2 linked regions of the Lonchura striata genome follow. The protein of the gene in region 1 purifies or fractionates together with the protein of each later gene. This does not show direct contact. Links are inferred from orthologs where the notes say so. Each region holds a gene or a part of one and is shown on either strand. Other genes may lie near its edges. The genes, in order: CHD1L and DNA repair protein XRCC1.

Evidence for each region.
Region 2: the proteins of CHD1L (region 1) and DNA repair protein XRCC1 purify together in Homo sapiens (affinity purification with mass spectrometry; 3 studies listed by BioGRID and IntAct, counting the BioPlex papers as one, with this or other methods). This does not show direct contact. The link is inferred for Lonchura striata from reciprocal best matches to the Homo sapiens genes CHD1L and XRCC1.

What each region holds. Positions count from the first base shown.
Region 1 is NC_134604.1:26,873,557-26,888,660, forward strand, and holds the start of CHD1L (chromodomain-helicase-DNA-binding protein 1-like), read left to right. Parts: upstream 1-9,805; 5' UTR 9,806-9,842; coding exon 9,843-9,939; intron 9,940-11,521; coding exon 11,522-11,634; intron 11,635-12,382; coding exon 12,383-12,489; intron 12,490-13,750; coding exon 13,751-13,865; intron 13,866-14,216; coding exon 14,217-14,248; intron 14,249-15,104. Other genes in the region: uncharacterized protein LOC110480871, read right to left, coding at 65-142, 258-320, 1,085-1,168, 1,383-1,468, 2,531-2,691, 3,698-3,790, 4,200-4,320, 5,484-5,546 and 4 more. UniProt on the Homo sapiens protein: ATP-dependent chromatin remodeler that mediates chromatin-remodeling following DNA damage.
Region 2 is NC_134639.1:72,526-87,577, reverse strand, and holds the start of DNA repair protein XRCC1, read right to left. Parts: upstream 6,658-15,052; coding exon 6,597-6,657; intron 6,538-6,596; coding exon 6,290-6,537; intron 5,118-6,289; coding exon 5,019-5,117; intron 3,981-5,018; coding exon 3,816-3,980; intron 2,907-3,815; coding exon 2,832-2,906; intron 2,431-2,831; coding exon 2,331-2,430; intron 1,822-2,330; coding exon 1,800-1,821; intron 1,759-1,799; coding exon 1,707-1,758; intron 1,555-1,706; coding exon 1,484-1,554; intron 400-1,483; coding exon 4-399; intron 1-3. UniProt on the Homo sapiens protein: Scaffold protein involved in DNA single-strand break repair by mediating the assembly of DNA break repair protein complexes. Negatively regulates ADP-ribosyltransferase activity of PARP1 during base-excision repair in order to prevent excessive PARP1 activity.

The sequences.
Region 1 (15,104 bases):
TTATTCTAGGATGCCTCTAGGAAGGGAGAGCATCTGGGCTCAGGGAGGGAGAGGGCTCACCTACCATATGGGTAGAGCAGATCTGGCTCAGCAAGGATACTGTAAACAATGGCTGCATCTGCCACTGATGTACAGATAGGGCCTGTAAAAGAGACCAGTTATAAAAAAGTGACAAGAGGTAAAAAGTAACTTCCTCCCCTGTGAGAGAGAGAGCAGCACACAGCAAGGTCCCTGAAGTGGAGCACAAGTCCTCTTACCTACGCTGACTGTGGAATAGGAGAGTGGCAAGCAGCCATGACAACTGATGCGCCCAAATGTACCTGGAGAACAAGAAATGGGACATAGCTGGGTACCAGCAGTCACTTTTATGTCTGCTGTTTCAGAGCCCATCTCTCATCCTTCAGTACCCTGTTCTGCTGACCCCAGCCTGTCTCATCAGTGAAGCATGTGAATAGTGAAATTGGTTTTCTCCCATAGAAATTATTTAGTTAAGGGGAAATATGTGCGGGACACTTTGGAATGTTTGTATCTAAATATACAGAAGCAGCATTTGTGGTGTGGAGGATGGGGAGGCAGGAGCAGGATTATCAACAGCAGGAGACAGCACCCCATGGGAGGGTCACACCCATTTCACTGGTGAGACTTCATGCCTAACACCAGCTCTCTTCTGCAAATACTCATATCAATTTTCTGACCAGTTGCATTCTTTTATCATCATCATCTTCCTCAGCTGAATCAAGATTTGTCGAGTTGATCACAAGTGAAGGATGGAAAGAGAGTAATGGCTGACTATCTGGTCTCAATGAAAGACAGAAAGGAAAGGGTAGAAAGGAAAAGCAGCATGCATATTTTGTTTTGTATTTGAGGTAAGTAAGTTAGGTTTTTTTAACATGTGTTCAACGAAGAGTAGAGAATATTTCCATGCTGCCAGTCTAACCCTCATGACTCTCAGGGTGTTATATTTCAGTTTCTCTGGTCAAGTTTTACTTCACAGGAATTAATAAGTATCTAACGTGTTTGTGGCATTCTATCTGGAACAGCAAACAAGACAAACACACACCCCTCCATGATTAAAGGGCTCTACCTTTTAGGCCCACCACACCACAGAACGAAGCAGGAATCCTCACAGAGCCTCCTCCATCTGTGCCAATAGCCACGGGGCAGAGACCTACAAAAAACCCACACATTGGCCTGTGATCAGAGACACAACATGTTGTCTTGTCCATTCTAACAGCAGCTGTATCCAAGACAGCACACAGAGCTCTCTGTTCAGCTACAAGTTCCCTCTAGCTGCTAAACCCAACCCCCCCCATAAATACTAAATGCCTAAGGTACTCTGGCTCAGGACCTTCCTCCCACCAACTCCATTTAGGACCACCTACCTGCTGCTACAGCTGCTGCTGACCCACTGGAACTCCCACCTGTAAAGTGGTTAGGATTGTAGGGATTCCTAGGGATCTTGTGGTACCTGAAGCAGACAAAAATAGTTTAACCTTTTTTTAGGAGGACTGTGTGCATTACAGGGCAGGAAAAGATCCAGAAACAAAGCTCAGGGATTCTGATCTCTTTGTAAAGAGACGCCATTTAATTTCAGAAAGTGCCATGTCCCTAGAAAACAGGATGCAAAAAAGACTTCTGCCTCAGAATCCAATCTCCTGTGAGCATAAGCAGCCCATCCAAAAGAGGACCAAAGTATGAGAAAAGATGCTGCTTCAGCTCTTCTATTGGCAATGGCACTGCGCCATGACTGCCTGCCACAGTGCATGATGCAATTCCAAAAGGTGGAGCAGCTGGTGGCCAGCAATCATTACAGACAATAAAGTCAGCTCTGCCCTTTATCCCCAAGCAGCAGCTCCCCACGTCTCCAGGCTGACCACAGCCCCAGCCAGCAGAGCCCTGCCAAGCCACTGGGTATCCAGCTGCCCTCCCACGGTGAGGAAATGCTGGAAATGCTGGCACGCTGCTGCAGCCCAGGGGGAGCCCTAGCTCCACCCAGCTGCACATGCACCATGTGTGGCTCTACACAAGGCTTATCAAAGCCATCAGCACCATTGCTCTGGAGCCGAGTTCTCAGCTTGGCTATAGCTGGAGAATTCACCAAAGTAAAGCAAATCCAGTGAGCCTGTTTTAGCTAGGAAGTAAAACAACTATGTTCTCCTGAGATGACTGTACCTTTTTCTCCATGTTCTAGGCCTTCAGCCATCACTGAGGCTGAGCATTACATGAGTATTTGTTTTCTGTCACAGCTTTTGTGTACCACTCATACTATAAACATTCACACCTCCAGGCCCGTAAGAGCCTGACAAACTAAGTTCCTTACTCAGCAGACAACACTTGGAGCCTCTCCTTCCTTTGGTTTCAAGAGCCTTCAGGCTTCCACAGCTACTCTAACCCTCAAATCTACAGTACTGGGTTTTCATACCCTCAGGGTTCTGTCATGATTCCCCTTATTTTTGTACCCTTACCTGGGAATTCTGGACAGTCATAGGTATTTCTAGACTGGGAGAAGAGAGAAGACAGGGATTTTTACCTGTTAGGGTTGCATCCAGTTGTTCCAGTCCCTAGTTCATGCATGTTTGAGACCCCAATAATGATAGCCCCAGCCTCTCGCAGCTTCTTGGCCACAGTAGCATCTTCTGTTTCTGGCTGTGTCCCAAGATACACTGTTCCCACTCGGTGATGGTAAGGCACCTTAGCAAGAAGACACCTAACTATTAATTATAAAACCCTGCCAAAGGAGCACATGCACACTCCAACATCACAACAGATCCCAGACATTAGGACCCATGGAGGTAAGCAAGGGCTAGGCAGCACCACTCTTCAGCTTGTCCTGTGATGGTCTCTGTCAGAAGGGACACTTAAACCTTCAATATTTGGTCATTCTCCCATGCAGAGGAGTCCTTTTCATACCATGATACAGTAGAGCATGTGGATGATCAAAGCTGCCTCCCTGCAGCAATGCAATTGCTATGCCCAGAGGCTGAAGATCAACTTGGCCCCACAGCACACAGCTCTGTGCTCCATCTTTGTATGGACAGAGCTACAGCATTTCAGATCTGCATGCTTTGAAGCCTGACATCAAGATTAGTTGAATGCCAAAACAACAGATGGGCTTATTTTCAGGATGTGCTAACTACTCTACTTCGAGGCAGCAACAGAAGAATCTGTACATAAACAGGACACCCACCATAGGGGTAGGTCTCTGCAGAGCCTACAACAGCCTGATGGCACTGCCACAAGTAGTTACTGCTAGCTGTTGTTAGGCCACAGTAAAAATCTTTGTCAATGGGAATTTTCAAAGGAACTTGCGTATTTCTGGCACATGTATTTTAAGGGGACAGGGATGCTTTGCCAGTGGAGTGGAGTCAGGGCCTGAGAAATACAGACAGTTACACCCACTGTACAGATGCTTTTATACATTCTCATTTCATCATAAGAGACTGTTTCCCACACCCACCCTCTATTCCTTGTGGATTAAAGAGATCAGTACAAGATATGGAACACGTCTGCTGTATGCAAAATCTGCCTTCACCCTGCAAAACTTGTTAATCCTACTCACTACAAACCCACATACAACCCCTCATTACAAACATATTCTCAGGCTTCTGCTGAGAAGTTGGTCTCAAAACCTTGTCACAGTGAGTTGCCCAGGTTAACCACCTGCAACAGGAGCTGGCAGCTAGACAAGGAAACTCACCACTTTGAACTCTTCTTTCAGGCACACTGGGATGCCATCCAGACAAGACAGGGTACACTTATTTCTGTAACGAGTAGTGGAGGCCTCAGCCATCTGCAGAGAAAAAGAAAAAGCATAAAGCATATGCTATATATATATATATATATATTTCACTGAGCTGAAGGTCATAATCAGTATTGGAATGGATATTAAAAATGGCTTTCTTGGCCAGCCTATCAAAGTTTTCTTCTTCCACCATATGCTGGTGAGAAACTACAACTTGGAACTATCTACACTAATAGATGCCACATAAGCACAGAAGTCCTATTATAAACAGTCATTCAGCAGGAAACATTGCTTTAATGCTACTTCTCTTTGCAGGAAGGAAAGCAAACTTGTTGTAGTCCTCTAAACACAGAGGAATGAAAAATTTACTTATTTTTCTGTGCATACTGGCTCTTCTTATGGATGCTACTGCCCTTGGGGTGGCAGAGGCCCCTTTCCTACCAGAGGCAGACATTACCAGCATTATTTGCTCCTGGTCCCATTGCACTATGGCTCTGAGCGGTGGCGTGGATTTGTCACAATCCTCCAACATGGCAATGATGTTCTTGGCTACCTGGGATGGCGTCAGCTTCCCACTCCTACAGGACAGGAGAAGTTGGGAGTTTGTTATAAGACCTCCCCTCACATATCCACTCACAGGGTTTGTCTCCCATGCAGCAAGATGGCAGCTGTCACAGCTTTTAGCAAGAATTAGGTAAGAATCTCTGTGTGGTGATGATCTGAACACTGTTGACAACATCAGGACAGGAGATTCCTTTCCTTAAGGGGATAATTTGCCTACACAGAATGCTCCTTAGAGGAGGGGAAAACCTAGGTGAGTTTAACCTAAATGTTCCTGAACCACCACAGATAAACAGGGACACACAGCTGACAGCTTGACAGTCCTCAAGCTCCTGAAAGCTTGGAAACTATGAAACTCCCAATATAATGAGCTAAGACCAAGAGGTCAGACCCCTTTATACAGGCCTCCCATTACACAGAAGGGGCTGCCAGCAGTACTGTCATAACCCACCTTTAATAAACCTTCCTTCCCTCCTGGCAAAGACTGCTACACCACAAACACACCATTCCTGGCTGACACAAAAGCCTCACAGCCAAGATGCACCTGTAACAGCAGACTGCAGTGTCAGCCCTTTGCTCCAATGCCACAGCCTGGGCAGAGGTGGCCCTTGAGGAACAAGTTCTAGGAGTGCAAGGATATTTTTCCAAGGGCTCCACTTCTGGCACATGCCCCAGAGGCAACTAGGATTACCAGGCAGCCAACAGCTCACAGAACCCCAGAGTCAGGGGGGTGTTTTCAGCTCTTTCCAAGCTGGACATGTTTACTGGGTGAAAGCAGGTGTCATGCTCAGAGACGCACAGGGAGCTGGGGAACCAAGGGATTCATCAGAGACCCACAGTATGCACAACTGGCATAATCCAGATCAACCCTCATCTACTTCTCACTCATGTTTGAGTAAACAAGATATGTAGAAATCTCTCTCGAACAAGACTGACAGAGAGTAAGCCAAAGAAAATGGTATTTAAATATTCTTGCAGGGCTTATAAAGCTGTGCCAGCTCTCCCAGATGACTTTCCTTTGTTATTCTACTAAAGGGAAAGAACAGCAGGAAGTGATGATAAACAATGGCACCTCAAGGACAATGCTAACAAAGAGATTCCTGAGAGCCTGTGGAACAGTGGCAGCCCACAGCAGAGAAACATGTGGGATAGGTTGTTTCCAGACCATAATTTCACCTACCGGTAGCATTCCAGATAGTCTTTGATCTCTTTGAAGCTAAACCCGTTCCTAGCAGAATCAGACCTGCAAAAGAAAGGATTAAAAGGTGTAACTGTGAGCCACCAAAGCCAGGTTTGTTCAGACCTGTAGACTTCAGCATCACTGTCCAATGCAGATTTGGGTACCATTCACAGTAAACCACGTGAATTGCTAACCCCTGCATTGCCCCTCACACTCTGTCAGACTCCTTGCACACAAGCCAGGCAACAGGCACACTATGGATGCCACAGAAATAAGGGACCAATTTTGCCAGAATGTTCTAGTTTCTTCATATTCCTACTGAAATACAGCAGTCATTAAACTGTTCAAAATGTATTCCAGATTTACACTTCCTACTCACCACTACAACACTATAGCCTAGCTGGAATATACTTTTGAACCTACTCCCAGACCTCTGTCAAAAATTCAATCCCGAGACAGCCAGCAGCACATCTGGGTGTGTAGTGCAGGAGTGGGAAAAGGCACCATGCAGCACACACAAGCAAACTGCTTCAACACCAAATGGCTCTAGCACATAAACAGTAGGCCACTTCTCATCACTAACAAAGCTAATTTCTTGTGCATTATTTTCTTTAGAACCTGTGTTCCTTCTCTCCTCCAAGAAAACCTGGTGTTCTCTTTGAGATTCCCTGGAGGCTAGAAACAGCACTCCTGTAAAGTCACTTAGAGAAATCTATTTACTAACTAGCCAAACACTAAGTGTACCTGCTGTAATCGTGCAACCAGAGCCCTGGTAAGGGCAGAATTTGGTCTCTCCCCAATAGACTTTTCTCTTTCGCATTGCTTGTAATTGCTGGTGATTTGTAAGTTACAAAAGGCAAGATGACTGACAGCACTATTTGTTTTGTGAAGTGGCTGGGCATGGAAACAAGAATTTAATCTAAATTGCTGACAATGACAGCTTCCCATTAAAGTACCACTGCCAGCATGTGTATTCATCTCCACTTCTCTCTTACACATCACATACTGACCTTGCATCTGTCAGCTCCTTGATAACATCTGAAGGGCTTTTAGCCTCAGACTTGTCTTCTGCAACCCCCGCAGCAACCTCCGGGATAAACGTGGGATCTTCATGAATGTCAAGGGAACGCATAAGCGAGAAGTTGTTCATTCTGAATAAGAGAGAATCACTGCTGGAGTTTTCAACCTCAACTATGACTAATTTTTCAGACTGTTCAGAAGGAACCTTACCCAAGAACATTTTGTCTTAGCAGCCTGCTTTCACAGCAGGGAGTTGCAACAGCTACAAGCTAATCTCTCTTGCATATTTCCTAAGGGCAGCATCAAATCTATTCTGCCTGTTTAACAAAGCCTCCTACCTCTTGATATAAGGCTCTTGACATAAAGCTCTGTAAACTCGAGCTGGGAAAGAAACGGTGGAAGTTTTTGATTCACTTTAATTAGACCTCTCATACACAGACCAAACAAGACAGGAATGGAAAGGAAAATAAAAGAAGAATGTAGTGTAAGCCATACATTCAACCACTAATCCTGTTAAAACAAGCACCTCTTCAGACTTTTCCATTTCCTCTTTCAACATAATTTGTTTGCAACCAAATACAACAGGGCTTGCAGCATAAATCCATAGCAAAGCAAGGAGATCAAAACCCTGTCACAGGTATCCAGGAATGATCTGCAGTATAATAGCAGTGACACTTGCCTGGATTTGATTTGCTCAAAAAGCCCACATCCCAAGTCAAATTCAGGGGTGACACAGTTCTCAGTGTCCTGGGATCTGCACAGATGACCCTTCAAATGATGGGCAAACTATACGAACAAAGCATGAAGAGGTTCCTGAACCTCTTACCCAAGTATCTCTTCATGGAATGTGTTCTTGAAATCAGTTTCTGAACAAAAACACATATGAAAGAAAGAAGAAAAGCTGACCTAAAACAAGAGAACATAATTAAAAAGAACTCACCAAAACCTCTGAACTTTATGTCTGGCCTCACTTTCTCACTACTACTATTCTTTTAACCCTATCAGTGATAAGAACAGCATATTTGCACATCCACCATCCTTGAAAAAAAGACTGTCCTTTAACAAAAGAGCAAAGACAAAGAGACATGAAGGCAAACAAAAGGCAAAAAGAAAAGCTGATGAATACAGTTTCTATGCACCTGCATGAGTGTGAAAAAAGCTATTTTCTTCTCATAGAGACCCACTCAAATGACAGTAGTTAAAAAAATAATCTAGCAAACATCTATGAAGTAATCTTATTCTGTAATCAAATTATGCAGCTCTTCTCTTTAAAAAATACAATTTCAGATAACCTACAAGCAGTGTGCAATGCAAATACCTTAAACCTAAAAAAATAAGAAACTCAGAGTGGGAGAAAAGTCCCCATGCTTACCTCATTAAGAATGGCAATAAGCAAATCTGCCCAAAAGCCTAGGAAAAAAGGAAGCAAAAATGTTGGTTTGCAGCAACTTTGACCTGACACCTTCTTTCACTAGATAAGGAATGCTGAATATGCTCATGATTGCCACAGGCTCAGAGTACGCTAGAGAACATACAATGCTATGCAGTAGAGAAACAGCACAAACATTTGTATTCTACACCAAAAAAATGGCCTGAAACACTTTCCCTCCACTGCTCATATTTATATAATTATAAAAAGAGTATTCTTCTGATTCCTCTGCCTTTATCTTTCCCTGCATCTACAGAAAGCCTGCATCTGCAGATGCAACACTGTTAAGAAGCATCTATATAGCTCCCATCCGTTATTTTCATCATGTTCCACAGATTATGCAAACATTGGATAAGGTAGGAGCTTATTATTTTATTTACTATTAGGACCTTGCCTATCTCTCAACCAGCTCCCACAGTAACATGAGTCAACTTGGAAAAGTGTGAGAAATTTAGAAACTCTATGGTAGCAGACAGCAGAAAACAATCTTTCCATACCCTGGCTCCCAGAGTAGCAGCATCAACAGTCCCAAAGAGACCAGCCTTGTTCTGGCCTGTCTTAATATCTTAACAATGGACTTCAGATACATGTTGTACGATGTACAAATACAGTACAAGTCTGAGGCAAGGCTCACACTGCCAGTCCCACAAAGCAGCACGTCACCTCACGCACTGCATAAGAATTACAGACCTTTTTGAAAACACATGGTTCCTAATCTACATCTGACCTAGCACAGCACAATCCAGTAGGAAAATTAACATCTCACATTCCCCTTCAAGTGAGGTATTGGGAAAGGAAAGAAGCCCTCTGCCATGCATCAGAAGCAGCCACAAAACGAAAGACAACAAAGTACTCTGCTTATTACATCTTGACAGAAAGCCACTCCTAAGGTATTCTCACAAATAAACACAGCCCATCAAGCATTTCACGCCAGGCCCAGACGGACACCAAGCTTTGTAACAGGTGCCACGGCTGAAAAGAAACTTTTGTGCCTACTTCGCTCAAAAGGAAAGGCCGAGCAACAGCAGCAGGCATAGACCCAGCTGCTGCCAGCAGAAGCAGGTGCGAGGTGGGCAGTGCGCAGGGGATGCAGACTTTTGTCCCCTCTGCACCACGACACCGAGAGGCCCAGTGCCGCAGCGGGATCAGCCCGCCGGCTCCCGGACATCCAGAGCCCAGCCTTGGGGAGCGCCGCTGCCTTCAGCAGCCTGCAGGGACCCCCTCACAGGGCTGAGGGACACGAGTCCTTCGGCGGCCAAGGAGCGCGGCCGGCAGCTCTCTTCCGAGTTTGATGTCAGCTTTGGGCTCTCCACACCCGAAGACACACAGGACTCTCTCAGCCAGAGGCCGGCGCTCGCAGTGCCACGGCACCGCACCTATAGAGCCCGGTGAACCCGAGAGCCCGCAGAGAGCCACAACCACCGCGGCGCGCCCCGGAGCCCCCGCCCGGTTCTCCCCGCGCGGCCCCGGGTTTCACTGCCCCGGCCCGCACTCACCGTGTTAGCCACATGGACGAAGAGGCGCAGCCCGGCGCCGCACAGCCTCGGAGCCCACTGCGGAGAGAAGGCGAGAAGCGAGGTGAGCGCCGGCCCCGCCGCCCCGCGCCCGCCGCCCCCCGCCCGGCCCGGCGCTCACGGTGTCCCGGGGCGGGCCCGGCGGCCCGGCCTGCCGCGGCCCCCGGCGGTGCAGCACGGCCGCCGCGCCGCCCGTGTGCCGCCGCCCGCAGCACAGGTAGGCGGCGGCGGCGGCGGACAGCAGCGACGCGAGCAGCAGCAGCAGCAGCAGCGGCGCCATCGCGGCGCTCCCTCGGGCGAGCCCTCCCGCTGCCGGGGCGGAGCCGGGGCTGGCCCCGCCCGCAGCCGGGCTCGGGCGGCGGGAACGCGCGGCGGAGCGGTGACTGACGCCCCGCCATGTCCCGCTTCTCCCGGGCGCTCCGCCGCGCCGGCGGCGCCCGGGCCGGGGCTGCGGGCGTGCAGGAGGCGGACGTGCAGCGGTGGGGGCTGACAGGTCAGCGGGGAGCGGGGGAAAGGGGCGGCAGGGAGCCTGAGCGGTGCGGTGCTGTCAGAGGTGGCGGGAGGGGCCCGCGCTGCCTGGGGCTGCCCAGCTCACTGAATGGCTGGCGTTGGAAGGGGACCTTGAAGATTATCCAGTTCCAACCCCCCTGCCGTGAGCAGGGACGCCTCCGTCTAGACCAGGTTGCCCAAAGCCCCATCCGACTTGGCCTTGAGCACCTCCAGGGATGGGACATCCACAACTTCCTTGGGCAACGTGTTCCAGTGGCTCACCATCCTCACAGTAAAGATTTTTTTTCCGCTAATGTCTATTCTAAATATATTCTGTTTCAATTTGAACAGATTCCCTCTTGTCCTGTCACTGCAGGCTCCTGTAAACAGTCTTGCCCATCTTTCCTGAAAGTTCCTGAAAGGCCTCAAGTAGGTCACCAGGAAACCTTCTGTTGTCCAGCCTGGACAACCTCAGTTCTCTGAGTTGTCTGAGCTCTGTACTAACACCCCCCCTAGGCTGGAAATAAATAAAGGTGCAAATAAATTGGCTCCCAAGCGTGTCAAAGTGAGCTGCAGTTGCTGCAGAGATGGCATTGCTGCCATACTCTGTGCCAGCCTTCCCTGGGTGCTGTAGTCCCTCTGCCTGGCTTTGTGGCTAGGTGGTGTTTGGGCCAGGGCTGAGCCTGGCTTAAACCCTCCTGGTGCCTCCGCACAGCCTCAGGCAGCTCTGTGCTTCGGGGATAAGGTGAGCAAGGGTTGGCCTATTCAGTGGCCTGGAAGTGGATGTCAATTAAAGTGCTTTCGGCTGCCTGGAGGGTGATGTTAAAGGGGAACGCCAGGGCAATCCATCCTGCCCACACATTTTCCTTAGGTGCTGGAAGTCCTCACCTCAGTCCCTGGGCTGGTTTGGGTTTGTGTAGCCTGCGGGCTGGTGAGTTACTTCATGCACGCAGTGTGCACATTTTCCCAGGGAGGAGAGGGCAGCAATGCCAGAATACACAGCACTTGAGTCCAAGCACAAGGAAAGGTCTTGCCAACTCCTATGTGATTTGTTTTGTATTCATTTTGACATATCATGCCCCATAGTAAGGATTGCAATGGTGGTAGTAGTCATAGTGGCCTATAGTGGAGGTCTGCTTTGGCTTTAAGTAGAGAAAAATGGAAAACATCTTGTTAAGAAATTATTATTATACAATAATAGATTGTGAGAAGTATTTCTGGTAGCCTAAAGCATGTCCCTGGCTCTAATACTTACTTTAATATTTTAAAAAGTGATTCAGGCTGAAAATTAAGCTTTCTTTTAGGAATGCAAAGTACCAGCCTAATTACTAGGTCAGGTCTTTTGCACAGTCAAGGATGGCTCCTTGACTGCCATGGCTCAGGGCATTTTTGTGCAAGTTTCTGAATATACTTTAATTTAATTGCAATTACATTGGGGTCTTTGCTATCCAGGAAGGTAAACTAGCTTCTTCTGAATGCTGCTGTGCTTTTCCTGTAAGGCATATGTTCTGGGCAGGACCTGTTCCTAGTGTGTGTATGGAATGCATTAAGTGACTGTAAGTGTAACAAATCACTTTTATTCCCAGGCATTAAACTTCGTCCCTATCAATTAGAAGGTGTAAACTGGCTGGTGCAATGCTATGAAGTCCAGCATGGCTGTATCCTGGGTGATGAGATGGGCCTTGGGAAGACTTGTCAGGTGTGTCTTCTTCTTCTGGAAAATTATCTTTGCTTAAATTTTTGGGGTTTTAGCTTAGTATTTCTGCAAATTGAAAAAGTACCTTACTGATTCCCCCCCACTCCTTCAGAATTCCATACTCAAGTGAGAGCTCATTGTCTCTTTCAGTCCTTAACCACTTAAAACCAGTCCTGAGTTAAGTCCTGTGTAACACCAAATGGGTTTCAGGGTTTTGTAAAAAGACGAGTGGCCATTTTATCCAAACATCTTAATGCATAATTCATAGTGTGCAGAGCTGAAGGCACAATACACAGCCAGTACAGGCAAAATAATGTCCTTTTGATGCACTTGCACCAGGGGGTTTTTGTGTTTGTCAGCATATGGATTAAAATGTATAAGTCTAATTTTTTCAGAAGTTTGTTGGATTTTTTTAAAGTTTTTCAGTGGGTTTAAGTTTTTTTGGAAAATGACTGTGCTTTGGATCAGCTGATTTTATTCAATAGGGCTTAAATTACAAATAGTTTTAGAAAGTGATGCATGGTAGACCAGGTTTGTGACTGTGCAAGAAAGGGGCTTCATATATGGAGGTCATGTTTTAGGATTTAAGCCTTTTTGTCTGTATCCCACTTGATATTCTCTTAACTCTGATTTGTGATAATGAACCTATGGAAACTATCTGCAAAGCTCAGCAAGGAGACAGCTATGTAGGATCAGGCTATCGGGTTGAACCCTTCCCTTGTTATAAAAAAATATTTTCCTTGCCTTTTAGACCATTTCTCTACTTCTTTATTTGACAAAAAAGTTATCAAACAAAGAGAGATTTCTGATACTTTGTCCTCTGTCAGTTCTGAGCAACTGGAAGGAAGAGCTGGAGAGGTAAGTTTCAACAGTTGTCTGGTTTACTGTATTATTGCTCATACTTGCAATTGCAAGGTTTGCAAGTTGCAAGATTGCAGAGATTGTTTTCAAATGTGCTCACTCCAATACTTCCTTTTTATCCTTTCAAAGGGAAAGAAAGTAAAAAGGGAAGCTGCTACTAAGCCAACAAATCAATGCAGACTATGCAGTTAATGCATAGTCTTTACAATGCTGTGGTATACATGAACCCATCCATCCTATATTATTGGCTGACTTTCAGTCTAAATGCTTCCACTAGCTCCTTGCTTTTTATTGATTTGCAACCCTCCCTGCTCAGCCTCTCTTAGGCAAAATCTGCTGAAGACAGCTAGGAATCTTCATAATAAAAGGTAAGACCCAAGTTTGGGGGCATGCTTACATATGCACACAAAATACATCACACACAATACATCAAAATACATCACAGCTGTGCATGCAGCCCATCCTCACTGGGGTGACAGTGCTGATGTGTATCTGCTGTGCCTGAAATATGTACATTTCTGGTCTGTAGCCCACAGACTCTTTGTAAGAGGAAGGGCTAGAAGTTAAAGGTTAGAACAGAAGTCTGTCTGTGTGGCTGTCAGCTGATGCTGTCTCTCTGCATCTGAAGTCATGCAGGTTACATTCTGAAGTGAGCTGGCCTGATATGGATAGATTTTGGGTTGGAATAGTTGGGAGAAACTGCAGTCCTTCATAGATCAACAGTGCAGCTTTCCAGAAGGAGTATTAGGTAAATAATAGTGATGGGATTAAATTAGGAGAAATTTTATGGTCCCTACAATTGGAACTGATTTTTGACTGAGAGAATATATTTGAGACCCTGACTTGGACCTCTTTGCTGCAAACATTTTTGTCTTTATTTTAGAATTATTTAGGCCAATTCTTTGGCCTTATATGGGCCAACTGTATTCATTCACCTGCTTCTTATGAACATTTTTCAGTTCAGAATAGCAGTTAGGTCATGAGACTGGTTTTGAATCATCTGCCTTGGACTCTTACACCTAAAAGAATGCAGGTTTATTTAGGACTTGTTGAAACCACAGCCAACAGTGGAAGTGCCAACCTGAGGTGAAAATTATGGAGGAGTGAGATTCAAAAGCTGAGAGCCAGACACATCTCACAGGAGTGTAGGGTGTTTGGACAGGAATTCTCATCATCTGTGCAGTGAGGTCCAGGGTCATAAACACATGAAAAGACTTAGCTTGGCTCACTGTTTTTTCTGTCTTTCTCTTAACAACAGGTTTGCTCCTGGTCTTTCTTTCATATCCTATGTAGGCAGCAAGGAAGAGCGACCCAAACTGCAAGAGAATCTGAAAGGGGACTCTCACTTCCCTACACTTCTGACAACATACGAGGTACGTGATGCCTTTGTCACTTGAAAGGGGGACGCAAGTTTTTCTAGCCTTTTTTATTCCTCTGTACCACCCAGTTCATGCCTTGTTAGCCCACAAGTTTTCTCACTTTTACACTTCCAATTCTCTTCCCCCCTCTTCATGGGTGGGGTGTGAGTGAGAGGGTGTGTGATGTTAAGCCATGACATGCTGAAGGTGTCATGTAACTGTCATTTTTCTTCCTCAGGTAGTAAGTGCCTTCGTTCCACTCTGCTCCATTTCACCATAGTTTGCAGGCAGACAGAAAAATGCTCTGTTTCTTAACTGATGTATTTACTTAAATCACAAATCACAGTCCATTTTCTTTCATTGCAGATTTGCCTGAAAGATGCAGCATTTCTAAAGTCGTGAGTCTGGTTTTAATTTCTTTGAATTTAAGTCTGGATAGCTGTCAATGATTTCTTAAGTGGATATTTCTATGTGTAAGACTCTGTGTTGTTTCACAAGAGACAGGGATGTTATTGGCTTGTGATCAGAATTTTGTCTTTTCCAACTTTCAGTCTTTAATATCAGCTAAAATATATGTGAACTTCCCCCAAGGACAGTTTTCAAGCCAGTTAACTCAAAGCAATGTGACACAGTGACTTACAGCAGTACATTAAGTATCAGTCCAGCAGAGGATATCCTCAAGAGCTTCAAGTTATAAAGGTATTAGTTGCAATATTCACTGAAACTGACCTGCGTTATATAACAGTGATAATGTGCTAATACCATGTCCTGAAGTTTATTGCCTCACAGTCAAAGCTGTGGAGGGCTTGTGAAACATTACACCTTCTACAAAGCCTGATTATTCAGCTGAAATTCAGCCTGTAGGAGGTACTGTCATGGTTATGCAGAATTCCACAGGCATCTGCACTTGAAATGGGAAGGAATTTTCCTTTTTTCTTAGCAGAAGTGCCAGTGCCTCGCAATGGTGCTATGACAAATGCTGGGGGCAGCTGTACATAATGAATGGCTCAGTATCTTTGTAGAAGCACAAATTCAGTGTCCCCTGCTGGCACAATTTTGTGTCTGTCAGGACTAGTCAGGCTTACAATGGGCACCCTCCTGTCTTTCAGCAAAGCACCTGTCCTTGGCCACTGCTGGAAGTAGCAGACTGTCTACACATCATAGTAGAAACCAGGTCTAATGAAAGATAGCCGTGACTGTATTGTCCTTACAGTTTCATATCACGTTCTGCATTGCCGCATATTATTCCGTTTA
Region 2 (15,052 bases), on another chromosome or scaffold:
TACACCAGGTGAGTGCACTCAGGTGTCCAGTCGGGCCGGTAGTCGGCGCCCAGCGCCGCGGCCGCCGCCCGCAGGTGAGCCCGCAGAGGGTTCTGGAAGCCGCTCAGGGCCAGCACCACGCCCCCCAGAACCGCGCCCCCCGAGTTTTTGGGGGGTCCCGAATTTTTTGGGGAGGGTCCTCCCGGCTTTTTGGGGGGTGCCGGGTTTTTTTGGGAGGGTCCTCCCGGGTTTTTGGGGGTTGCTGAATTTTTTTGGGAGGGTCCTCCCGAGTTTTTGGGGGGTGCCGGGTTTTTTGGGGAGGGTCCCAGATTTTTTGGGGGGGTTTTTTTGGGTTTCTTGGGGGTGGTGCCGTTGGTGGGGGAGGGGGGGGTGGGGGAGGGGGGGGCGGCGCTTGGGGGGCTGTGGGAGAAAAAAAAATGGGGGGGGGGGTGTTCAGGTAAGGTTTGGGGGGTCCCAGGTGGGGTTTGGGGGGGCCCAGGTGGGATTTGGGGGTTCCCAGGTGGGGTTTGGGGGGGCCCAGGGGGGATTTGGGGGGGCCCAGGTGGGATTTGGGGGGGCCCAGGTGGGGTTTGGAGGGTCCCAGGTGGGGTTTGGGGGGGCCCAGGTGGGGTTTGGGGGGGCCCAGGTGGGGCTTGGGGGGTCCCAGGTGTCGTTTGGAAATCCCCAGGTAGGGTTGGGGGGGCCCAGGTGGGGTTTGGGGGTCCCAGGTTGGGTTTGGAGGGTCCCAGGTGGGATTTGGGGTCCCAGGTGGGGTTTGGGGGGCCCAGGTGGGGTTTGGGGGGTCCCAGGTGGGGTTTGGGGGGCCCAGGTGGGGGTTTGGGGGCCCCAGGTGGGGTTTGGGGGTTCCAGGTGGGGTTTGGGGGTTCCAGGTGGGGTTTGGGGGGTCCCAGGTGGGGTTTGGAGGGTCCCAGGTGGGGTTTGGGGGTCTCAGGTGTGATTTCAGGGAGTTTTGGGGTCCCAGGTGAGATTTTGGGTTCCCCAGGTGTGCTCAGGTGAGGTTTGGAGCCCCCCAGGTGTGCCCAGGTGTATTTTGGGGTCCTCCACGTGTATTTTGGGGTTCCCCAGGTGTGCCCAGGTGTGTTTTTCAGGTTCCCCAGGTATACCCAGGTGCATTTCGGGGTCCCCCAGGAGTGCCCAAGGGAAGGTTTGGAGCCCCCCAGGTGTGCCCAGGTGTATTTTGGGGTCCCCCAGGTGTATTTTGGGGTCCCCCAGGTGTGCCCAGGTGTATTTTGAGGTCCCCCAGGTGCATTTCGGGGTCCCCCAGGTGTGCCCAGGTGTGTTTTTCAGGTCCCCCAGGTGTGCCCAGGTGTATTTTGGGGTCCCCCAGGTGTATTTTGGGGTTCCCCAGGTGTGCCCAGGTGCATTTCGGGGTCCCCCAGGTGTGCCCAGGTGTATTTTGGGGTTCCCCAGGTGTGCCCAGGTGTATTTTGGGGTCCCCCAGGTGCATTTCGGGGTCCCCCAGGTGTGCCCAGGTGCGCCTCACCTGTGTGACGTCACTGCTGCCCTGCAGCGCGGCCGAGGCGTAGCTGGGCCCGGGGGGGGCCTGGGCGGGGGCTGGGGGGGGAGGGGAGACCGTGAGGGGTGGGGGAGGGGCTTACCTGGGTGGGGGAGGGGCTGTATGGGGAGGGGGAGGGGCTGAATGGGGAGGGGCTGTATGGGGAGGGGCTTACCTGGGTGGGGGAGGGGCTTACCTGGGAGGGGCTTACCTGGGTGGGGGAGGGGCTGTATGGGGAGGGGCTTACCTGGGAGGGGGAGGGGCTGTATGGGGAGGGGGAGGGGCTTACCTGGGAGGGGCTTACCTGGAGTGGGGGAGGGGCTTATCTGGGTGGGGGAGGGGCTGTATGGGGAGGGGGAGGGGCTTACCTGGGAAGGGGAGGGGCTCACCTGGGGTGGGGGAGGGGCTTATCTGGGTGGGGGAGGGGCTGTATGGGGAGGGGGAGGGGCTGAATGGGGAGGGGCTGTATGGGGAGGGGGAGGGGCTTACCTGGGAGGGGGAGGGGCTTACCTGGGGTGGGGGAGGGGCTTATCTGGGTGGGGGAGGGGCTGTATGGGGAGGGGGAGGGGCTTACCTGGGAAGGGGCTCACCTGGGGTGGGGGAGGGGCTTATCTGGGTGGGGGAGGGGCTGTATGGGGAGGGGGAGGGGCTTACCTGGGAAGGGGCTCACCTGGGGTGGGGGAGGGGCTTATCTGGGTGGGGGAGGGGCTGTATGGGGAGGGGGAGGGGCTTACCTGGGAAGGGGCTCACCTGGGGTGGGGGAGGGGCTTATCTGGGTGGGGGAGGGGCTGTATGGGGAGGGGGAGGGGCTGTATGGGATGGGGGAGGGCCTTACCTGGGGTGGGGGAGGGGCGGCGGTAGAACAGGGCCCCGGGGGGGCGCCGGGGGCTCCCCTCCCCCTCCTGGCGCAGCGTGAAGGGACCCAGGCGGCGGCGCTGGGGGAGGGGCACGGCGGTCACTCGGGGTCACTCGGGGTCAGGGGTCACTCGGGGTCACTCGGGGTCACTCAGGGTCACTCGGGGTCACTCGGGGGTCACTCGGGGTCACTCAGGGTCACTCATTGGTCACTCATTGGTCACTCATTGGTCACTCACTGGTCACTCATGGTCACTCATGGTCACTCAGGGTCACTCAGTGGTCAGTGGTCACTCAGGGTCACTCACTGGTCACTCAGTGGGTCACTGGTCACTCATGATCACTCATGGTCACTCATTGGTCACTCACTGGTCACTCATTGGTCACTCTGGTCACTCAGTAGGTCAGTGGTCACTCATTGGTCACTCACTGGTCACTCAGGGTGACTTGTGGTCACTCTGGTCACTCATTGGTCACTCACCGGGGCCGGGGGCGGTTCCTCGCCCTCCTCAGGGGCCGCGAACACCCGGATGAAGGCGAGGCCGTAGGGGCGGCTCTGGGGGCGGGGCCAACAGGTGAGTCCTGACCAGGTGACCCTGACCAGGTGACCCTGACCAGGTGAGTCCTGACCAGGTGACCCTGACCAGGTGACCCTGACCAGGTGAGCCATGACCGCCCCCCCCCCAGGTGCCCTCCCTGCCCCTCAGGTGAGCCCTGACCCTCCCCAGGTGAGCCCTGACCCTCCCCAGGTGAGCTCCTCCCCCTCTCAGGTGAGCCCTGACCCTCCCCAGGTGCCCTCCCTGTCCCTCAGGTGTGCTCTGACCCCACCAGGTGAGCCCCAGGTGCCCCCTGCCCGCCCAGGTGTGCTCTGCCCCTCCCAGGTGAGCCCCAGGTGCCCCCTGCCCCCCCCAGGTGTGCTCTGACCCCCTCAGGTGAGCTCCAGGTGTCCCCTGCCCCCCTCAGGTGCCCTCTCAGCCCCCCCAGGTGAGCCCCAGGTGCCCCCTGCCCCCTCCAGGTGAGCCCCAGGTGCCCCCTGCCCCCCCCAGGTGCCCCCTGCCCGCCCCAGGTGCCCCCTGCCCGCCCCAGGTGCGCCCCAGGTGCCCCCTGCCCCCCCCCAGGTGCGCCCCAGGTGCCCCCTGCCCCCCCCCAGGTGCGCTCTGACCCCTCCAGGTGCGCCCCAGGTGCCCCCTGCCCCACCCAGGTGTGCTCTGACCCCCCCAGGTGAGCTCCAGGTGCCCCTTGCCCCGCCCAGGTGCGCTCTGCCCCCCCCAGGTGCGCTCTGACCCCTCCAGGTGAGCTCCAGGTGCCCCTTGCCCCGCCCAGGTGCGCTCTGACCCCTCCAGGTGAGCCCCAGGTGCGCCCTGCCCCCCCCAGGTGCGCCCCAGGTGCCCCCTGCCCCTCCAGGTGCCCTCCCAGTCCCCCCAGGTGAGCCCCAGGAGCCCCCTGCCCGCCCAGGTGCGCTCACCTGGCAGTAGGGCTGGCTCAGCACCACCTGCAGCCGGTCCCACCTGGCCGTGGGCGTGGCCGGACGCTTGACCAGCGCCTCGGGCCCGAAGAGCCGCACCCGGCCCGGCCCCGCCCCCGCCCGGCTCTCGCTGGGCGACATCAGCGCCGCGCTGGGCAGCAGCACCTGCGGGCACAGGTAAGGCTCAGGTGTGCCCAGGTACCCCCAGGTGTGCCCAGGTATGGTTTAGGTGTGCCCAGGTACCCCCAGGTGTGCACCCACCTGTGCCCAGGTAAGGTTTAGGTGTGCCCAGGTACCCCCAGGTGTGCCCAGGTGTGTTTTTGGGTGCCCAGGTGTGTTTTTAGCTGTGCCCAGATGTGTGTTTTGGTGTCCCAGGTGTGCCCAGGTGCCCCAGGTGTGTTTTTGGGTGCCCGGGTGTGCCCAGGTGTGTTTTTAGTTGTGCCCAGGTGCCCCAGGTGTGTTTTTGGGTGCCCCAGCTGTGCCCAGGTGTGTTTTTAGCTGTGCCCAGCTGTGTTTTTGGGTGCCCAGATGAGCCCAGGTGCCCCAGGTGTGTGTTTGGGTGTCCCAGGTGTGCCCAGGTGCCCCAGGTGTATTTTTGGGCACCCCAGGTGTGCCCAGGTGTATTTTTGGGTGCCCCCGGTGTGCCCAGCTGTGTGTTTGGGTGTCCCAGGTGTGCCCAGATGTGTTTTTAGCTGTGCCCAGGTGTGTTTTTGGGTGCCCCAGCTGTGCCCAGGTGTGTTTTTAGCTGTGCCCAGGTGTGTGTTTGGGTGCCCAGGTGTGTTTTTAGCTGTGCCCAGGTGTGTGTTTGGGTGCCCAGGTGTGCCCAGGTGCCCCAGGTGTATTTTTGGGCACCCCAGGTGTGCCCAGGTGTGTTTTTGGGTGCCCAGGTGTATTTTTAGCTGTGCCCAGGTGTGTGTTTGGGTGCCCAGGTGTGCCCAGGTGTGTTTTTAGCTGTGCCCAGGTGTGTGTTTGGGTGCCCAGGTGTGTTTTTGGGTGCCCAGGTGTGTTTCTCGCTGCGCCCAGGTGTGTGTTTGGGTGCCCAGGTGTGCCCAGGTGTGTTTTTAGCTGTGCCCAGGTGTGTGTTTGGGTGCCCAGGTGTGCCCAGGTGTGTTTTTGGGTGCCCAGGTGTGCTCAGGTGTGTTTCTCGCTGTGCCCAGGAGTGTGTTTGGGTGCCCAGGTGTGCCCAGGTGCCCACGGGCTCACCTGGAAGTCGCCCCCGGCCGAGGAGCCCAGCAGCACCTCCACGAAGGCGGCGCCGTCGTTGCCGACGTGCAGGGAGTGAATGGGGCGGGTGTCACCCAGCTGGGGGAGCCACCAGTATAAACCAGTATAAACCAGTACAGACCAGGATAAACCAGTACAAACCAGTACAGAGCAGTATGAACCAGTACAGACCAGTACAAACCAGTATAAACCAGTACGGAGCAGTATGAACCAGTGCAGACCATTTCTGCCCCACTCAGGAGGAGCCTCCCAGTTCCCTCCCAGTCCCTCCCAGTTTATCCCAGTCCCTCCCAGTTCCCTCCCAGTCCCCGCCAGTCCCTCCCAGTTCCCTCCCAGTCCCTCCCAGTCCCTCCCAGTTCATCCCAGTCCCTCCCAGTTTGTCCCAGATTATCCCAGTTCAGCCCCACTGCCCTCCCAGTTGGTCCCAGTTTGTCCCAGTCCCCTCCCACTACATCCCAGTAACCCCCAGTCCCCTCCCAGTGCCCCCAAACCCCCTCTCAGTCACCCCCAGTCCCTTCCCAGTCCATCCCAGTTTATCCCAGTCCATCTTAATCCCCTCCCAGTTTATCCCAGTTCCCCTCGATGCCCTCCCAGTCCATCCCAGTCTCTCCCAGTCCATTCCAATCCTCTCCAAGTGTATCCCAGTTACTCCCAGTCTATCCCAGTCCCTCCCAATCCCCCCAAACCCTCTTCCAATTTATCCCAGTCCCCCCCAATCCCCTCCCAGTTTATCCCAGTCCCTCTCAATCCCCTCCCAGTCCACCCCAGTTCATCCCAGTCCCTCCCAATCCCTTCCCAGTCTATCCCAGTCCTTCCTAATCCCTTCCCAGTTCATCCCAATCCCCTCCCAGTTTGTCCCAGTCCATCCCAGTCCCCCTCAATCCCCTCCCAGTCCCCGCCAGTCCCTCCCAGTTTATCCCAGTCCCCTCCCAGTTTATCCCACTCCTCTCCCAGTCCCTTCCCAGTTACTCCCAGTCCCCGCCAGTCCCTCCCAGTTTATCCCAGTCCCTCCCAGTTCATAGTTCATCCCAGTCCCAGTTCATCCCAGTTTCCTCCCAGTTTATCCCACTCCTCTCCCAGTCCCTCCCAGTTCATCCCAGTCCTCTCCCAGTCCCTCCCAGTTCATCCCAGTCCCCTCCCAGTTTATCCCACTCCTCTCCCAGTCCCTCCCAGTTAACCCAGTCCCCTCCCACTTTATCCCACTCCCCTCCCAGTCCCTCCCAGTCCCTCCCAGTTACCCCCAGCCCCACCTCCAGCACCACGCTCAGCTGTTTCTCGCCCGCCGCCGCTCCCCTCCACTTCCCGCCATCCTCGGGCCGCAGCAGATTCTCCGCCGGGTGCCGCTGCGGACGCACCGAACCCTCAGAACCGAGCCCCGGTACCGCCGAGCCCAGCCCGGCTCCTCCCGAACCTCCCCGGGACCCACCGGGTCCGCGCTGGTCACCGACACCACCCGGGCGAACGGGATCTCCGCCATGAGGGCCGCGCCGGAAGTCCCCTCAGAGCGGCACCGGAAGCCGCCTCAGCGCCGCACCGGAAGTCGCCTCAGCGCCGCACCGGAAGTCGCCTCAGCGCGCCCTCCCGGGCCGCTCTGCTCCGCGCGACTCTGGGGCTCCATAGCGCGCGCCCATTGGCTGCGCGCATGCGCGGGGCGCGCTCTACCCGCGCGTCCTCCCAGCGGAGTTTTTCCCGCCTTTTTCCAAGCGCGGGAAGCCGTGAGGGGAAAGGAAATAATTAAACCTCCGCCAGGGTAATTAAGCTTCATTAATCCTTAGGGAAAGGCAATTAATCACGACTTGGCGCTAATTAAGACAAAGAAAAGGCGCTTTGGGCTGTTTATTAGCGCGGGGGGAGCCGCCTCAGAGCCGTGAGGGGAAAGGAGATAAGGAAACCTCGGCGAGGGTAATTAGGCGTCATTAATTAACGAGGGGGGTCGTTAATGAAGAGCAGCACGAGGCTCCCAGTGCTCCCAGTTTATCCCAGTAAGCGGCCGTACTCAGCCAGGGCTGAGGATTTCTTCACCCCGTCCCAAATGCGGGCGGCGTAGTGGAACCTGCACCAGTATGGACCAGTATAAACCAGTATATACCAGTATAAACCAGTACGGACCAGTATAAACCAGTACGGACTGGTACAGGTAATGAGCACCCTCCCAGTTCCCCCCAGTTCGCTCCCAGTCCCCTCCCAGTTTATTCCAATCCCCTCCCAGTATAAACCAGTAACCCCGAATCCCCTCCCAGTATAAACCAGTCCCCCCAAATCCCCTCCCAGTATAAACCAGTAACCCCAAATCCCCTCCCAGTATAAACCAGTAACCCCGAATCCCCCTTTAACCCTTTCCCAATCCCCTCCCAGTTCCCCCCAGTCCCCTCCCAGTATAAACCAGTCCCTCCCAATCCCTTCCCAGTTGCTCACAGTCCCCTCCCAGTCCCTCCCAGTATAAACCAGTAACCCGAAATCTCCATTTAACCCTCTCCCAGTTCCTCCCAGTCACCCCCAAACTCCTCCCAGTCCCTCCCAGTATAAACCAGTAACCCCAAAACCCCATTTAACCCTTTCCCAGTCCCTCCCAGTATAAACCAGTACCCCCAAACCCCCTTTAACCCTTTCCCAACCCCTCCCAGTCCCCTCCCAGTATAAACCAGTTACCCCAAATCCCCTTTTAACCCTTTCCCAACCCCTCCCAGTATAAACCAGTGCCCCAAACCCCCTTTAACCCTTTCCCAGCCCCTCCCAGTCCCCCCCGAAGCCCTCCCAGTATAAACCAGTCTCACCAGTTGCGCTCGGTCAGCAGGCTGTGGGATAACTGGGAGCGCGCGGCCGCCAGGACCCTCCCCCGCAGCCGGGCCAGGAGCCCCCCCAGCCCCCCCCGGCCGCGGAACGGGGGCAGGGCCGGGAACAGCGCCCCTCCCCCACCTGCGGGGTTCGTACTGGTTTGTACTGGGATAAACTGGGAGGGACGGGTTTATACTGGGTTTGGACTGGGAGGGGGTTTGGGGAGCACGGGGAGGGACTGGGACGTACTGGGATGGACTGGAATGGACTGGGAGGGGGTTTGAGGGGGCTGGGGTGGGTTTGGAGGGGATTGGGGTAGACTGGGATGGACTGGGATATACTGGTTTATACTGGTTTGGACTGGTTTGGACTGGTTTATACTGGTTTGAACTGGTTTATACTGGTTTGGACTGGGACGGGGTTTGGGGAGCACCGGGATGGACTGGGCCATACTGGGATGGACTGGGAGTGGGTTTGGGGGGGGTCTGGGGTGGGTTCAGAGGGGACTGGGATATACTGGGCCATACTGGGATGTACTGGGATGGACTGGGAGGAGGTTTGGGGGGTCTGGGGTGGGTTCAGAGGGGACTGGGGTGTACTGGGATGTACTGGGCCATACTGGGATGTACTGGGATGTACTGGGATGGACTAGGAGGGGGTTTGGGGGGGATTAGGCTGTACTGGGATATAGTGGGCCATACTGGGATGGACTGGGATGTACTGGGAGTGGGTTTGGGGGGTCTGGGATGGGTTCAGAGGGGACTGGGCCATACTGGGATGTACTGGGCCATACTGGGATGGACTGGGATGGACTGGGAGGAGGTTTGGGGGGTCTGGGATGGGTTTAGACCGGACTGGGCTGTACTGGGATGGACTGGGAGGAGGTTTGAGGGGTCTGGGGTGGGTTCAGAGGGGACTGGGCTGTACTGGGTTGTACTGGGGTGTACTGGGCCATACTGGGATGGACTGGGATGGACTGGGAGGAGGTTTGGGGGATCTGGGGTGGGTTCAGAGGGGACTGGGCCATACTGGGATGTACTGGGATGGACTGGGATGGACTGGGAGGGGGTTTGGGGGGAATTAGGCTGTACTGGGATATACTGGGCCATACTGGGATGGACTGGGAGGAGGTTTGGGGGGGTCTGGAGTGGGTTCAGAGGGGACTGGGATGTACTGGGCTGTACTGGGAGGGGGTTTGGGGGGGATTAGGGTGTACTGGGATATACTGGGCCATACTGGGATGGACTGGGATGTACTGGGATGTACTGGGCTGTACTGGGATGGACTGGGAGGAGGTTTGGGGGGTCTGGGGTGGGTTCGGAGGGGACTGGGCCATACTGGGCTGTACTGGGCCATACTGGGATGTACTGGGCCATACTGGGATGTACTGGGCTGTACTGGGATGTACTGGGAGGAGGTTTGGGGGGTCTGGGATGGGTTCAGAGGGAACTGGGGTGTACTGCGTTGTACTGGGCCATACTGGGATGTACTGGGAAGGGGCCCAGGGTGCCCAGGGGCTGTCTCTGGGGACCCGCACTGGTCCGTACTGGTCCGTACTGGTCCGTACTGGTCCGCACTGGTCTCACCTCGGGGCAGGGCGTCCTCGGGCTCCTCCTCCAGGGGCGGCAGCAGGAACAGATTCACCTCGGGCTCGGGGGGGGGCCCGGGGGGGAGGGGAGGAGCTCCCGCATGGACAGCGAGCCTGGGGGGCCAAAATCACCCCAAAATTATCCCGAAATTATCCCGAAATTATCCTGAAATCATCCTGAAATTATCCCGAAATCATCCTGAAATTATCCCGAAATTATCCTGAAATCATCCTGAAATTATCCCGAAATTATCCCGAAATTATCCCGAAATTATCCCAAAATCATCCTGAAATTATCCCAAAATCACCCCAAAATTATCCCAAAATTATCCTGAAATTATCCCGAAATTATCCTGAAATTATCCTGAAATTATCCCAAAATCATCCTGAAATTACCCCGAAATCATCCTGAAATTATCCTGAAATTATCCTGAAATTATCCCGAAATTATCCCAAAATCATCCTGAAATTATCCTGAAATTATCCCAAAATCATCCTGAAATTATCCTGAAATTATCCCAAAATCATCCTGAAATTATCCTGAAATTATCCCGAAATTATCCCAAAATCATCCTGAATTTATCCTGAAATTATCCCGAAATTATCCCAAAATCACCCCAAAATTACCCCAAAATCATCCTGAAATTATCCCGAAATTATCCTGAAATTATCCCAAAATCATCCTGAAATTATCCCAAAATTATCCCGAAATCATCCTGAAATTACCCCGAAATCATCCCGAAATTATCCCAAAATCACCCCAAATCACCTCAAAAATCGCCCCCAAAATCACCCTAAAAATCGCCCAAAATCACCCCCAAAATCATCCTGAAATAATCCCAAAATCATCCTGAAATTATCCCAAAATCATTCCGAAATTATCCCAAAATCACCCCCAAAATTACCCCAAAATCACCACCAAAATCAGCAAAAATCTCCCCAAAATCCCCCCAAATCCACCCCAATCCCCCAAAATCCCCCCAAAATCCCCCCAAATCCCCCCAAATTTCCCCAAATCCCCCCAAAATCCCCCCAAAATCCCGCAAATCCCCCCCAAAATCCCCCCAAAATCCCCCAAAATCCCCGAAAATCCCCAAATTTCCCCAAATCCCCCAAAATCCCCCCAAATCCCCCAAAATCCCCCCCAAATCCCCCCAAATTTCCCCAAATTTCCCCAAAATCCCCCAAAATCCCCCAAATCCCCCCCAAATTTTCCAAAATCCCCCCAAATCCCCCCCAAATCCCCCCAAATCCCCCCAAATCCCCCCAAATCCCCTCAAATCCCCCCAAAATCCCCGAAAACCCCCAAATCCCCCCAAAATCCCCCAAATTTCCCCAAATCCCCCAAAATCCCCCAAATCCCCCCCGAAATCCCCCAAATTTCCCCCAAATCCCCCCAAATCCCCCAAATCCCCCCAAATTTCCCCAAATTTCCCCCAAATCCCCCCAAATCCCCCCCAAAATCCCCCCAAATCCCCCAAATTTCCCCAAAATCCCCCCAAAATCCCCCAAATCCCCCCAAAATCCCCCAAATCCCCCCAAAATCCCCCAAAATCCCCGAAAATCCCCAAATTTCCCCAAATTTCCCCAAATCCCCCAAAATCCCCCCCAAAATCCCCCAAATTTCCCCCAAATTTCCCCAAAATCCCCCAAAATCCCCCAAATCCCCCCAAATCCCCCCGAAATCCCCCAAATTTCCCCAAATTCCCCCAAAATCCCCCCAAATCCCCCAAATCCCCCAAATTTCCCCCAAATCCCCCAAATCCCCCCAAAATCCCCCCAAATCCCCCCAAAATCCCCCCCCAAAATCCCCAAATTTCCCCAAATTTCCCCAAATCCCCCCAAAATCCCCCAAATCCCCCCAAATCCCCCCAAATTTCCCCAAAATCCCCCAAATCCCCCCAAAATCCCCCAAATTTCCCCAAATTTCCCCAAATCTCCCCAAATTTCCCCAAATTTCCCCAAATTTCCCCAAATCCCCCAAATTTCCCCAAATTTCCCCAAATTCCCCCAAATTTCCCCAAATTTCCCCAAATCCCCCAAATTTCCCCAAATTTCCCCAAATCCCCCCAAATTTCCCCAAAATCCCCCAAATCCCCCAAATCCCCAAAATCCCCAAATTTCCCCAAAATCCCCCAAATCCCCGTACCGCGGTACTTGAGGCGCGAGTGCGCCATCAGGCGCCCGAGCACTCGCTGCATCTGCCCCACGCGCCGCGGCGAGAACGACTCGGGGGGCGCGCGGGTCTGCACGAACACTGCGGGCAGGGGCACACCTGGCACACCTGGCACACCTGGCACACCTGGGCACACCTGGCACACCTGGTAACCCCAATTCCACCCCAAAAAAACCCAAAAATCCCCTAAAAAACACCCAAAAATCCCAAAATCCTGGGGCTGTTTTTAGCCTGGGGTGGAGAGAACTGATCTGGGCACACCTGGCACACCTGGGCACACCTGGTAACCCCAATTCCACCCCAAAAACCCCAAAAATCCCCTAAAAAACACCCAAAAATCCCAAAATCCTGAGGCTGTTTTTAGTTTGGGGTGGAGAGAACTGATCTGGGCACACCTGGCACACCTGGGCACACCTGGCACACCTGGTAACCCCAATTCCACCCCAAAAAACCCCTAAAAAAACACCCAAAAATCCCAAAATCCTGGGGCTGTTTTTAGTTTGGGGTGGAGAGAATTCACCTGGGCACACCTGGGCACACCTGGCACACCTGGCAGCCCCTAAAAAACCCCAATTCCACCCCAAAAAACCCAAAAATCCCCTAAAAAACCCCAAAATCCTGGAGCCATTTTTAGTTTGGGGTGGAGAGAATTCACCTGGGCACACCTGGCAGACCTGGGGAGGGTCAGGAACTATGGGGCAGATCTGTGGGCCAGATCTATGGGTCAGGATCTATGGGGCAGGTCAGGATCTGTGGGTCTCACCCAGGTGTGGGTCAGATCTATGGGTCAGGATCTATGGGTCAGGTCAGGATCTGTGGGTCAGATCCGTGGGTCTCACCCAAGTGTGGGTCAGATCCGTGGGTCAGATCTATGGGTCAGATCTATGGGTCAGGTCAGGATCTATGGGTCAGATCCGTGGGTCAGGATCTATGGGTCAGGATCTATGGGTCTCACCCAGGTGTGGGTCAGGATCTATGGGTCAGGATCCATGGGTCAGATCCGTGGGTCAGGATCTATGGGGCTCAGATCAGATCCATGGGGCAGGATCTATGGGTCAGATCCGTGGGTCTCACCCAGGTGTGGGTCAGATCTGTGGGTCAGGATCCGTGGGTCTCACCCAGGTGCGGGTAATACTCCGAGGGCTCCTCGGCTCCGGCCCCGCTCGACTCGTGGCTCGGCGACGGCGTCGGTGGCTTCACCATCTCGGCCGTCTGCAGGAACCTGTGGGGCAGTTATGGGGCACTTGTGGGGCACTTGTGGGGCGGTTTGGGGCACTTGTGGGGCACTTTGGGGTGGTTGTGGGGCAGTTTGGGGCACTTGTGGGGCGGTTTGGGGCACTTGTGGGGCACTTGTGGGGCAATTTGGGGCAGTTTTGGGGCGCTTGTGGGGCACTTTGGGGTGGTTGTGGGGCGCTTGTGGGGCACTTGTGGGGTGGTTTGGGGCAGTTTGGGGCACTTTGGGGCAGTTTGGGGCACTTGTGGGGCAGTTTGGGGCACTTTGGGGCAGTTTGGGGCACTTGTGGGGCAGTTTGGGGCACTTTGGGGCACTTGTGGGGCGCTTTGGGGCAGTTTGGGGCAGTTTGGGGCACTTTGGGGCACTTGTGGGGCAGTTTGGGGCACTTGTGGGGCAGTTTGGGGCACTTGTGGGGCGCTTGTGGGGCGCTTTGGGGCAGTTTTGGGGCGGTTTGGGGCAATTTAGGGTCACTTTAGGGTCATTTTTGGGCAGTTTTGGGGTCACTTTGAGGTCAGTTTTGGGCTCATTTTGGGTCATTTTGGGGTCAGTTCTGGGGTCACTTTGGGGTCAGTTTTGGGTCAGTTCTGGGGTCACTTTAGGGTCACTTTTTGGGTCACTTTTGGGGTCACTTTTGGGGTCATTTTGGGTCATTTCTGGGTCACTTTAGGGTCATTTCAGGGTCATTTTTGGACCAGTTTTGGGGTCACTTTGGGGTCATTTTGGGTCAATTTAGGGTCAATTTTGGGGTCACTTTTGGGTCAGTTTTGGGGTCATTTTGGGTCACTCTTGGGTCAGTTCTGGGGTCACTTTGGGGTCATTTTGGGTCATTTCTGGGTCACTTTAGGGTCATTTCAGGGTCATTTTTGGACCAGTTTTGGGGTCACTTTGGGGTCAGTTTTTGGGTCAATTTAGGGTCAGTTTTGGGATAATTTTGGGGTCAGTTCTGGGGTCATTTTAGGGTCAGTTTTGGGATAATTTTGGGTCATTTCTGGGTCACCTTTGTATCAGTTCTGGGGTCACTTTGAGGTCACTCTTGGCTCAGTTCTGGGGTCACTCTGGGGTCACTTTTGGGCTCGTTTTGGCTCATTTTTGGCTCAGTTCTGGGGTCACTCTGGGGTCACTCTGGGGTCACTTTTGGGCTCATTTTGGCTCATTTTGGGTCACTCTGGGGCCCTTTGGGTCTCACCTGTAGAGCCCCAGGTCGGTGAACCAATCCTGCACCAGCAGCACCACGTGGCACACGGTGAACAGGAAGGCGGCGATCTGCAACGACTGCGCGGGGCTGCTCATTAGCATAATCTGCATATCCAGCGCCTCATTAGCATACCAAGACCCCGCCCTCACCTGCGTCTCCACGTAGGCGTGGGGCAGCGCGAACTCCGGCGGAAGCTTCCGGTCGTTGTTGATCAGGTGATCCAGGTGGGCGGGGCTGAGGATGGGCTGGGGGCGTGGCCAAGAGGGGCGTGGCCTGTGAGGCCACGCCCATCCCTCCCGGTATGGTAATGAGGGGGCGGGGAAAGGGGGGGGGTCGGGTAATTAGGGGAGTGGCGGTAGGTAGGGTAATTATGGTAATTGGGGTGATTACAGTAATTAGGGTATTTACGGTAAATGGGGTAATTATGTTAATTAGGTCAAAGATGGTAATTAGGGTATTTACGGTAAATGGGGCAATTATGGTAATTAGGCCGAAGATGGTAATTACGGTAATTGGAGCAATTAACGGCAATTGGGGTAATTACGGTAAATGGGGCAATTATGGTAATTAGGTCAAAGATGGTAATTAGGGTATTTACGGTAAATGGGGCAATTATGGTAATTAGGCCGAAGATGGTAATTATGGTAATTGGAGCAATTAATGGCAATTGGGGTAATTACGATAAATGGGGTAATTATGGTAATTAGGTCGAAGATGGTAATTAGGGTAATTATGGTAAATGGGGCAATTATGGTAATTAGGGCGAAGATGGTAATTACGGTAATTGGAGCAATTAACAGCAATTGGGGTATTTACGGTAAATGGGGTAATTATGGTAATTAGGCCGAAGATGGTAATTACGGTAATTGGAGCAATTAATAGCAACTGGGGTAATTACAGTAATTAGGGTGATCATGGTAATTAAGCTGAAGATGGCGATTGGGTAATTACGGTAAATGGGGTAATTACAGTAATTGGGGTAATTATGTTAATTAGAGTAAGTAGGGTAATTGGGTAATTACGGTAAATTGAATCATTGGGGTAA